3 linked regions of the Cricetulus griseus genome follow. The protein of the gene in region 2 interacts with the protein of the main gene of each other region in a biochemical or structural test. Links are inferred from orthologs where the notes say so. Each region holds a gene or a part of one and is shown on either strand. Other genes may lie near its edges. The genes, in order: Cs, Hspb1 and Mapkapk3.

Evidence for each region.
Region 1: the proteins of Hspb1 (region 2) and Cs form a complex in vitro, tested with the Homo sapiens proteins (2 studies listed by BioGRID). The link is inferred for Cricetulus griseus from reciprocal best matches to the Homo sapiens genes HSPB1 and CS.
Region 3: of the proteins of Hspb1 (region 2) and Mapkapk3, one has a biochemical effect on the other in vitro, tested with the Homo sapiens proteins (2 studies listed by BioGRID and IntAct). The link is inferred for Cricetulus griseus from reciprocal best matches to the Homo sapiens genes HSPB1 and MAPKAPK3.

What each region holds. Positions count from the first base shown.
Region 1 is NW_023276806.1:129,548,531-129,552,610, forward strand, and holds the start of Cs (citrate synthase, mitochondrial), read right to left. Parts: upstream 2,815-4,080; 5' UTR 2,649-2,814; coding exon 2,607-2,648; intron 1-2,606. UniProt on the Homo sapiens protein: Key enzyme of the Krebs tricarboxylic acid cycle which catalyzes the synthesis of citrate from acetyl coenzyme A and oxaloacetate.
Region 2 is NC_048597.1:114,890,241-114,894,027, reverse strand, and holds Hspb1 (heat shock protein beta-1), read right to left. Parts: upstream 2,171-3,787; 5' UTR 2,019-2,170; coding exon 1,631-2,018; intron 1,008-1,630; coding exon 944-1,007; intron 829-943; coding exon 639-828; 3' UTR 516-638; downstream 1-515. UniProt on the Homo sapiens protein: Small heat shock protein which functions as a molecular chaperone probably maintaining denatured proteins in a folding-competent state. Plays a role in stress resistance and actin organization.
Region 3 is NC_048597.1:215,440,723-215,444,366, forward strand, and holds part of Mapkapk3 (MAP kinase-activated protein kinase 3), read right to left. Parts: intron 3,518-3,644; coding exon 3,453-3,517; intron 2,978-3,452; coding exon 2,898-2,977; intron 1,243-2,897; coding exon 1,119-1,242; intron 12-1,118; coding exon 1-11. UniProt on the Homo sapiens protein: Stress-activated serine/threonine-protein kinase involved in cytokines production, endocytosis, cell migration, chromatin remodeling and transcriptional regulation.

The sequences.
Region 1 (4,080 bases), on a different chromosome or scaffold from region 2:
TCTTCCTCTACTGGCCTTCACCTTATTAATATTTTTAATAGTCTCTCATTCAAATCCATTTCTGCTAGATTGACTGGCAACCTAGACCCCTAGTTCCCTTCTGTCTCCACTCTTCCCCACAAACCAGCCCTATGAGGGTTATAGACACATGTAATGGAACATGGCTTTTGGGTGGAGATTATGTCGTGGAATGTTCTTTTACACTGTGTGAAGGTGTCACTGTGATTTATTTAATAAAAAGCTAAACGGCCCAGTAGCTAGATATAGCAGGGACTTTTGGACAGAGAGCGCTCTGGGAAGAAGGAGGTGTTGCCATCGAAATGGAGAGTTAGCAAGATGGGCAATACAGAGTAAAGGTAACTGAGCCACACAAAGAATGCAGATTAAAAGATATGGGTGAAGTTATAAGAGCTAGTGGGACAAGCCTAAACTATAGGCCGAGCTTTTATAATTAATAATAAGCCTTCGTGTCAGCTTTCTTTCTTTCTTTCTTTCTTTCTTTCTTTCTTTCTTTCTTTCTTTCTTTCTTTCTTTCTTTCTTTTTTGGTGAGTTGGCAGCCCCAAAGAAAAGTTTGAACTCAGGTCCTTAGGCTTGCACAGCAAGCACTTAACCTTGGAGTTCAAGCTTAATGGAACTCACTCTCTATGCAGCCCAGGATGACCTTGAATTCTTAATGATCCTCCTGTGTTTGTTTACAGTAGAGAGCCACCATGCTCTGCTTCAGGGCCTTGATAATATTAAGAGTAAACCTTAGCCGGGCATTGGTGGTGCATGCCTTTAATCCCAGCACTTGGGAGGCAGAGGCAGGCAGACCTCTGTGAGTTCAAGGCCTGGTCTCCAGTGCGAGTGCCAGGACAGCCTCCAAAGCTACACAGAGAAACCCCTGTCTCGAAAAACCAAAAAGAGTAAACCTTACCCCTTTTCTTGGAGACAGGGTATCACGTAGCTTAGGATGGTCTCAAACTCACTATACAGCTACTGTCTCCAAGTGCTGGGGTGGCAGGTATGTTACCATCACACTCAATGAGAGGCAAACAGAGATCCAGGCATGCCAAGCAAGTACTTGACCAATTGAGTCCAAGAGACTTCTAAGGTTTCCAGAATGGCAGCCCAGTCATTCCCCAAAACACTCTAGAGATTTCCTAGGGCTTTCACAGGCAAGACAAACTCAAAAGGTAAATCCAAAGGCCTTTCAAGTTCAGTTGTGTTAGACTATCTGGTCTGGGTTAGCAGCTCCGAAATGTTCTAATTATAGGTTCACTATTCTGCCAATACACTGTTTGGAACTTGCTTCATTTCCCAAGAGGAGTCCTTACCCAGTTCCCTGGCAGCAGGAGCAGCAACAGCCAAGACAGACAAGTGTCTACCAAATAAGCAATATCTACCTTGTTTCTGGGTGCTCAAACGAACCCCAAGATAAACCCTATGGGTTTTGTGGTAAGTCTGACAACTATGCATCACATACAGCCAGTCAAAACCATTCTCAGTCTTTTCCTCCCTCCAAGCATGACCAGCTATCTGCTGAAGAAAAAAAAATCCTCAGTTTTTTACAGCAGCCAAGGTCGTATGTGGCATTGTCCCCACTTGGATTAGAAGGCTGAGATTCCCTCAGCACAACTGGATCCCTGTTTAAAGGGCCGAGCTATGCAGAACCCAAAGTAGTGAGAAAGGCAAAAATAATAATAATAATAATAATAATAATAATAATAATAATAATAATAATAATAATCCAAGTTAAAGGGCCTTAGGGAATAAGAGGAAGTACTCCTCTTAGAGGAGACTTAAGAAAACAGCTAAAACCCGCATAAGTTTAGTAGATTCAGTCATGTGACCCCGGATGGTGTTACTCCTCTTGCCTGTCTTCATTTATTGGCCTGCAGCTTGGTGGAACAACCTTTCTGGTTCTCGCTGGAGTCATAGGCGATATTCTATCAGCAGGTTTAACAGAAATGCCCCACCCTATCCAAGCTCCTCCTATATACAGTTAAGTGAAAGCGTCCCAAGGACAAAGAGGAGCTGGGGGGTGAGGGGGGGTCTACTCCTCTCCCCAAACTGACCCGGCCGGGTCACTCAAGAGGCTACAATTACGAGAAACAGGTCCTGACAGGACTCACCCTACAATGCAGAGCCCAAACCAGCCCGGGCTCCAGCTCTGGCCCAGTGACAAAGTGAGCAGCACATCTGCTCACCGCCCCCGGTGCCCCTGCAAACAATTCTTCCCCTAACTACGGCGACACGGCACGCCACACCTCTCCTCTCCTCCGGCCCTTCTGCCCGGGCCATGCATCCCTCCCTCACTTGCACCACGGAAAGATGCTGTGACAGTCAGGCCGGAGCTCCGGGGGCCCCGGGCCGCCAAGGACCGCACGCAGGCTGGCCGGCCGGCGCCGGCAGCGTTCACCTTAGCGCCGGAAGGAAGGGCAGCGCGGCACATGGCCTAGGAGATGCAGGAAGGGCTGGCTGGCGGCCGGCCAGGCGCCGGGCCCCTTTAAGGCGCGGAGGGCTGCGCGTCGGGGCGGGCGGGCGGGCGGCTCGGTGCCGGAGGGCCTGCGGTCGCCTCGGCCCCACCCCGCGACGACGCCGCTCCCCTGCTTTGGTCGCTCACCTTGGCTCCCAAGAGCCGGGCTGCAGCAGTGAGAAGAGCCATGGCGGGACCAACTCCGGAACCTGGCGGGAAGGGAGCGCGGGGAGCGAGAACCTACAGCTGGAACCGCAGCGGCCGCCGCTGTAACGGAGACCGCGCCAACCGGCGGACAAGGTTGAAAGGAGGCGGAGGAGGGAGGGGAGACAAACCGGCAGAGGCGCCCAGCCCAGGGTCCTCAGCGAGGCCCCGCCCCCTGGCCGAAACCCGAGCCCGCCCCTCTCCTGGGACAAGCCTCGGGCGCGGCCATTGGCCCAGGGCTGAAGAGGGGCGGGACTTGTGCCCTTGACAGATGTTAGGGCGGGGGAGGATTGGACCCTGCGGATTAGGCTAATTTGAAGTGGGCGGAGAGGGGACCGTAGGTGCCTTAGGATGTGCCTGAGAACTCAGTTAACTTCCTTCTTTGGCTCTTGCCTTTGCCCTTAACGCTTTCTGCTTCTCCGGAGAGCAGGAAAGATACAGTTCCAGCACGCGACTCTTGAAGGTCACAGTACCTCAGCACCACTGATCGTGGAGCCCCCCCCACCCCCACCCCCCGCAACCGGCTTGGCGTGCTTCCTTAAAGGATGTCTTTGGTTAATGACTTCACTGCCGTGCAGTTGACATCATGTGGAAAGCAGCATATGATGCCAAAGTTGGCTGTTTGACGAAGATCATCAGAAACCCTGCTAGTATAGATACTGACCCCACTATGTGGAGAAGAGCCAAAACAGGCGCCTGAGTATCTAGTGCTGTCTGTAAACTGTAGGGAATGTTAAGTCTTACAAAGGCCCTCTTAACGTGAAGGCCCCTGAATCTCTCAGTCTTTGGGTCCTGGGCATACACTGTCATTCTTGATATAACCCCATAGAGCCAGCCCACCTCACATTTAGCAAGAGGGTGCAGATATACCCTCCAGGCATTAGACACTCCCTGGTTTTTGTGACGTCGTTCACAGTATTTCCAAAGGACTCCAGGACACTTCTCCTACTTGGCTATCTCTCTCATCCTCTGCTCCACCAGAAACCATGGCGCTAAATGACACAAGAATTTAAGATGATCTTACACATCACTGCGTAGAGCACCTAAGCCTATCATTGCAATTGGCGTAAGGGTGGAGAGAAAATGACCCAAGGATCAGGCCACCTTATCAATCTTCCCACGCGGCAGTAACAAAGTGCAGAGGTCTCAGTATCCATGTAAGCTAATAGTCCTTTTTTGTAGAGGATATAGTTTGTGGCTTAGACTTGGAAAAAGAGAAAGAAAACCCTCACTCCCCCCAAGTTCTCTCAAAAGCGGTTCATATCTGCCCAGCAGTGTTCTGGCCCAGGAATCAGGTAGTTCTTCGGAGAAAATCTTATCTAGAGAAACCACATCCTTGGAGAAGTAATGACCCCAGCTATCTCCCTAGGAACTTCAAAGATTCACTGATCAATATTGGCTCCCAATTTAGCATCTC
Region 2 (3,787 bases):
GAGACATAGTTTTCATGTGTCCCATGCTGACCTCAAACTGGCTATATAGCCAAGGATAACCTTAAACTTCTGATCCTCTGTAATGCTGGACTTACAGGTATGCGTTACCATGCTTTTGGATGTGTGTGTGCAAGCTGGGGCGGGGGTGGGGGGCGGTGTCAAACAGTGCCTCATGCCATACAATCACTCTTGTGAACTACATCCCCAGCTCCTGTTTTTTGTTTTGTTTTGGAGACAACAAGTATGTGGCCCGGGCACTCCTGGAACTCACTCTGTAGTCCAGGCTGGCTTCAAATTCACCATGCTCCTGCATCAGCTTCTGGGTGCTGGAATTACAGGCATGCACCATCATGCCCAGCCCCACCCTGGTAAAATTTTAATCTCCAGATTATCATTTTTTTCCTTCTTCCTAGGGAAATGTTAGGCTGAACCCAAGAAGGGGCTGAGCCCATCGCAAAGACACCAAAGGAGCACTCATCCCTAGCCCGCCAGAAACACCGGGGTCTGAGACGGTGGCAAGCAGTAGCTTCCAACTTTTATTTGAGAAAAACAGAAAGTACATGTATCAAAAGAGCATAAAGACTGATAGAGAGGGGTGGCGAGTGATGGCTGTTGGGGATGCAGCAGGCTGATGGCTTCTACTTGGCTCCAGACTGTTCCGACTTCCCAGCTTCCTGGCCCCCAATTTGGGCGCGGGCCTCGAAAGTGACCGGAATGGTGATCTCCGCGGATTGTGTGGCTGTTTTGGGCAGCGGAGCCTCCACGGTAAGTGTGCCCTCAGGGGACAGGGAAGAGGACACCAGGGTGGGGTCCACACCGGGAGGCAGCCTGGACAAGAAGAAAAACAGGACAAGGGTTACACATCCCTCCAGATCCCGGCCCCTCTGTTCTCCTCCCTGGGTCCGCTTTCCTCCACCCAGCCACGCAAGGAACCAGAACTCACGTGTATTTCCGGGTAAAGCACCGGGAGATGTAGCCATGTTCGTCCTGCCTTTCTTCGTGCTTGCCTGCGGGTGGGACAGAAGGAGGTCAGAGACAAGCCTCTGCTGTGTGGTAGCAGACCCCACCACCTGCTAAGGAGTGGCTGGGACTCCAAGGCAGCACACACACGAGAGTGCGGTGAGATGCCTGACTCCCTGGAGTCATCTTAAAACTTTCCAGAAAGTTCGTTTCTGGGATTTGGGATACTGGGCTTGGCTCTGATCCAGGCTGGACACCAGCGCAGGCGCACTCAGAGCTGTGTGCCGGCCCCCTCCGTGGCTGGGACCGGGGACACTGGCAGGAGTCCTGGCACTTCCTTATTTGGGAATGGGGTCTTCCAGAGGGTGCGTTGCTGTGCGTAGAACCCGGGGCTTCCCGTAGGCCAGGCCAGGCTCTGCCCTGAGCTATACCCCCAGCTGTTGGTCCTTATCAGCGAGGATGACAGGCTCTTAGGCGCAGCCTGCGCCCGGGTTCCGCAGCAAGGGAAGCTGGCCAGGGAGAACGACACTGGCCTCCCGGTCTCGGAGCTCCTTTCTAGCTTTCCAGGCTCCCATCCCTCTTGGCTTCACACCCTCCCCCCGCCCACCCGGTACAGCCACCGGGGCGCTCAGCCCGCTGGCTTCTCCCTGTGGGGACAAGGGGGACTCACCGGTGATCTCCACCACGCCTTCCTTGGTCTTGACCGTGAGCTCCTCCGGAGCGAAGTGGTTGACGTCCAGGGACACGCGCCAGCGATCGGCCGTCTGCCGGATCTCCGAGACTCCGCTGCTCAGCTGCCGGTTGAGCGCACGGTGGAAGGCGGGCGCGGCCAGGGGCGCGGCCAGGGCCACCGCCGCGGGTCCCTCGGCGGTCGCGGCGGGCAGTGGGCGCACGTAGCCGGGCCAACCAGCGGCGCTGAACCACTGCGACCACTCATCCGGCAAGCGGGGCACCCCGAAGGCTTGGTCGAAGAGGCGGCTGTGGGCCGGGTACCAGTCCCGGAATGGTTCCCAGCTGGGGCTCCGCAGCAGCGAGAAGGGCACGCGGCGCTCGGTCATGTTCTTGGCTGTGCGGGTCAGGGCAGATGATCCGAGAAGTGCCGAACTGGAGCCCCGGCCGTGCTTTTATGGGTGTCCAGCCGGGTATTTTTAGCAGGCGGTGCTTCAGGTCTCTATTAATGGCAATGACCGTCTAGGGGCCGGCCCTCCCCGCTGCATTCCTCCCCCTAAGCTTACAAAGGGGACAGGCAGGCGGGGCCAGGAAGGTTCTGCCCCCATCTGGAAACTTCTCTAGTTGAAGAAAACAAATGACTGTAATACCGGTAGCTGGAGCTGTTCCCACTGTCGGGCATTCACTGCCTGGGCTGAAGGGCGGTGGCCTGCGGCCCTGTCCCATCCTTCTTTTGAGACTACGGTTGGAAGTTAGGTCCTTTGTGTCCAACTGGGAAACAACTGAGTCTGGTCTGAACCAGAGGGACGCCTGTGTAGACACACACATGCCATGCACACCTGTGGAGGTCTCAGGGCTACCAGCAACAGTCAGCTCTCTCCTACCATGTGTATCCTGGGGAGCAAAGGCTTGGTGGCAGGTGCCTTCGTCCACTGAACTATCTGGCCCTGATAGATTTTTCTTTCTTTCTTTCTTTCTTTCTTTCTTTCTTTCTTTCTTTCTTTCTTTCTTTCTTTCTTTCTTTCTCCTTCCTTCCTTCCTTCCTTCCTTCCTTCCTTCCTTCCTTCTTTCCTTCTTTCCTTCCTTCACAGGGTCTTTTATTGACTCTGGAGCTTGCAAACTGGCTGGGCATACTGGAGCCCCATACTGCCCTCCTGTCTCTGTAATTGCCCCACCCTTCCAGCTCAGCACAGGAATTAGCCGCACAGGTGGCCACACTCAGCCCCCTCCCCCAAACACAGGGTTTCTTTGTGTAGTCCTGACTGTCCTGGAACTCACTCTGTAGACTAGGCTGGTCTCAAATTCAGAGATCTGCCTGCCTCTGCTGGGATTAAAGGCGTGCCCCGCTATGACTAGCCAGATTCAGCTTTTATATAAGTGCTGTGTGTCCGGTACAAAAGAAACTCGGAACAAAGAGCTATCTGTCGTGCCTATTAGCATCCCAAAGCGGCTTGCTGGCCTCCAGGCTCATGCAACATCACAAGTACCTGTTAGGGAATGCTGGCTCTTCTCATCTCACCCTCTACCCTAAAGTTCTCCAGTTAGTGGGCTTCTCGCCCCAGCTTCCCATTGCCCTATAACCCTCCTATTCCACCTGTGCCTTCTCCTGGTCCTCTCCCTGTTTTCTCTTTCTCTCTTGACCCCCTCTCTCTTAGTCTCCTTTGCCCCCACTCTTTTTGCTTTCCTCTCTCACCTCCCCCACCCCAATTTGCTGGTCATGTTCAGTCTACTACTTTCTCTCTCTGCTCTGGACTCTTCCAGATGCTTCTGGCTGTTCTCTTCCTCATAACTACAATAAAAACAAACCTTCCCTTCAACCATACCTTGGAGCTGTCATGTCCTCAGTTTATACACTGTGGACCCAAACTCAGTCCCCACGCTTGCACAGTCAGCTCTTTATCCATTTTGGCATCTTCCCAGCCTCTTGGTTTTTGTTTTTGAGAGTGGGTCTCATGTAGCCCAGGCTAGCCTGGGATTCTCTCCGTAGCCAAGGATGACCTTAAGTCCTGTTTATTCCTGTGAAGGACTGGAATCCTAAACATCTGCCACACATACCACACACTGTGTAGTGAGACATTAAACAGCTGGTGGGCTCATTGGGTGTGTCAGCTCTGACAGACCACCAAACTGCTTGAGTTCACAGATTCTGTGCCCAGTG
Region 3 (3,644 bases), about 100 Mb from region 2:
GACCTCAGGAGCTGCAAGAACAGAGAGCATGGGAGATCTCTCAGCCCCAAGGGTCCTGGGAACTAGGAAGGAGTCTTAAGCCTGGGTAAGGTGAGGAACAGGTACCCAGGCTGGGAGGTAGGGCAGAGCAGACTGGCGTCTGGCACCTTCTGGGAAGGCAGCATGTGTGTGAAGTAGGGGGAGGAGAGACAGCTCCCAGAAAAAAATAAACTGCCTTCAGACAGCCCCCTAGCAACTTAGGGCCCCCCTGCCAGTCTCAACTTGATAAGAGAGAGGAGGGAAGAAGGCCAGCCCCAAGTTTGGTGAGGCCCTGCTACTGACAAGAGGGTCTCAGTCTGCCAGCTGCACTGTTGTATCTCTCATCTCCTTGAATGCACAGCCTAGATCAGACTTCTGTGTTCTACTATCATCTTGGCTACCCACCCATCGGCCTCGGTCTTTCAATCAGTGCAATGAGGTCAGCAGGCCAGACTTAACATTAAAGAACTGCAGAATACAACCCGGTAAACAGGGAGCCATTTCTGGCATTTCCTACTCCTTAGCTGCCTTCTCTAAAGGGAAAAAGCTTCAGTTATTGCCCTACTCACAGGAAGGGGCAATTGTTACAGGGACCTTTGGCAATCTTAGAGGCTGCCTGGAATTTTCCCAGAAATCATGTGTGGACACCCCCAAGCCCCACCTAATTCTGGGCTCAAGGGACCCTTTCTCACAAGGCAGGTGACTAGTACCCTGTATCCCACTAATGCAGGAGAAAAGGCCTGCCCACTTTCTGAATATGAAGATGAAAACCAGAGAAAAACAACCGCGGTTGGGCTCCATCCCGAGCTGATGGCAGCCTTTTATCACGTATATATTTAGAGCTGCTGTGATGTCATTCAGCTCACAGGCCACAGCCAGAATTTTCCTGGATCTATTTTCAAAAGCAGAAGCTGAAGTTTGGAAGAATATTTTTGCAGCCTCCGGCCCCCCACGTCACCCGCCTCCATGCAGACAAGAGTGCTCCCTCCTCCCTCCTCATCAGGCTTTAACTCTTTGGTTCCCACAACCCATTGGCTGCCCCCACCCATTCTACCGCAGTATACAGCAAGGGGGATACAAGTCACCTGATTAGTACTCACCCACATAATAGGGAGTGTAACAGGGTGTCTGCAGGGCATTTTGGGTGGTTTCCTTGGCAAAGCCAAAATCGGTGAGCTTAAGCACAGCATCTTTCTCCTTGGATGTGTAGAGTAGGTTTTCAGGCTGCATCCAGAAGAGAAAGAAAGCATTGATATAGACAAAGGTACCAGGAGGGGACAGAGCCCCAAAGTAACCTTGAATCCCTGCCTCCATCCCAATACATGATGAGCCAGTACTGTTTTATAAGAAGATCTGGACCTTGGTCACCAACAACGTGGATTGGAGGTGATGCCTTCATTCACAGAGAGAAAGGTGAGGCAGGTGTTCAGCCAAGACCATGAATGACCAGGTGCCATAGACCCCTCTAGGCAGAAACTTCTGCTCCTGAGTTGGTGTGAATACCATGAAATGCCAGAAAAGTCGCTGGAGTAGACTAGAAAGCAGACAGCTCATGAGCCATGATTGCCAAGCACATGTCCCACACACAACCCAGAAGGAAGCCCACAAAGTCAGCAGGCTAGGCCCATTTGAGGTAGCTCAGGGGAGCAGGTGCCCCCACCACCACCACCCCAACGCAGACCTCAGGAGCTACACAGAAGAAATCTCCCTAGCTGCAAAGCACAGATGGGCCTGGCAGATGGGAACAGCCAGCAGGGCTCCATGGAGGAGGCAGCCCTGAAGCTGGCTGTTAGTGAACAGGTAGGATCTTGGCCCTATGCCAAGGAGCAGGAGGGATGATTCCCAAGCAAAACTCAGGAGGGAAGAACAGTGCTCCAGTTTGGATCCAGTGGGAGCTATTTCTTAGGTTCTGTTTGAGAAGATCTGACCTTGGATTGGAACAAACAGAGAAGCGGTTTAGCATATCCTGCTCTGCAGGCTTTTCTTCCCTTAGGAAAAGGGGAACTTGAGGGCTAAAATAAAGCAAAGATTTAGAAGGTGGATCTGCTTTGGCTGTGTGTGTATCCTGAATCAAAGGGTAACTGTATAGGCTGGCAGTCCTCAATCGGAGAGGCACATCAGCTAGCCTTTTGCCTCATAGGTCCAGGCTTAGGAGGAAATAAACCAAGCAAAGGTGAGGAGGAACAGATTCTGTGTTAACAGTGGTTCACACACAAACGCATATAGCTATGTATATGTAAGATTTCCTGGGAGACCTTGGTTTTCCCAGAAAAGAAAATATGAAGCACTGTGCTTCCTATGTTTCAAGCCCATTCACTGGGACGGCAAGCAGGATTCCTTCCTCCGATAGCCAGCAAATGGCTTCTATGCTGTTGTTTAGCAGCCTAATTTGTTTAAACTCTTTTTGTGACTTGACAGAAGACCCGGACACGAAAAGGCAGCCCCTCTCAAAGGTCTGGCACATTGATGGTCATAAAACTTCTTGCTGAGCAAGTGAACAAATGAACCAATGAATCCCCACACAGCAACTTCACAGCTTAAGGTAAGATGGTTAATTTCTCAAAGAACCTCAGTTTGCTTGTCTGTGAAATGGGTAATGGCCCCATGCCGCAGATGGGGATTAAAAGACATGCTTGTCGGGGCCCACTGGCTGGAAGTAGGCAGTTATTCTCGTTACTATTGGGATTACCCAGTGTTTGACGAAAACAAGGAGGTCCATCTGGCAAGAGCAGACTGAGTGAGCTGTGCCATGGGAGGAGAGGAGAGCAGTCTGAGTGGGGAAGCTGAGGCAAGGCACTTAGCCTCAATTCAGTAAGCGCTGGAAGCATCAGGGTGAGTGACTCCTTCACTGTCTCCCAGGCTGAGTTCTGGCAGCTCACCTTGACGTCTCGGTGGGCGATGTTCTGGCTGTGCAAGAACTGGATGGCCGTGCCAATGTCCCTCATGATCTCTGCAGCCTCTACAGGCACAGAGAGGAAGGAGAACACAAGGCCTGTTTAAAAAGTCATGTGACCTGAGGGGCACCCAGCCCACAATCTCTTGAGCATGGTCTGGCAGGCCAGCACTAGATGGCAGTCCTGTAACCTAGGTAGGTCTTTCGTTCTAGCTATCCACCCAAACAAGTCCAATTTACTCCAAGAATGTTCTGAGCCCACCCAGGCCTCTTTCCTCAGGCCTACACTGCCTCATAATAGTTCTGCCATGGGTCAGCACCAAAAGCCTCGGAGTTCTCCACCTCAAGCCATAGATAGTCCATCTATAGTGTTACAGATTCAAAGAACAAACCCCTAGAGGGGGGTGGGACATTCTCTTTAGTTCTTATGTGAATCTTGAGGTTCAGCGAGGGGCAGGCCTTGCCCAGTATCTCATAGCAACTCTAGTGTAGCCTTCCCGCACTAACACTAACTCCTCACTGGTCCCAGGGCCACACAAACCTCTCTCAGTGAAAGCCTGGTCACCACGTTCCTGGATCCTGCTGAACAGCTCACCACCTTCCATGCTGCAGAGAGAGAAGGCAGAAAGGGGGAGAACTGGGTGTCACCAACTCGGTCTGCCCTGGATCAGGGGCCCATGGACCATGGAGAACCTGGCAAATGGTGGGCTGTCAGCTTGGGTGGGTTGATCTG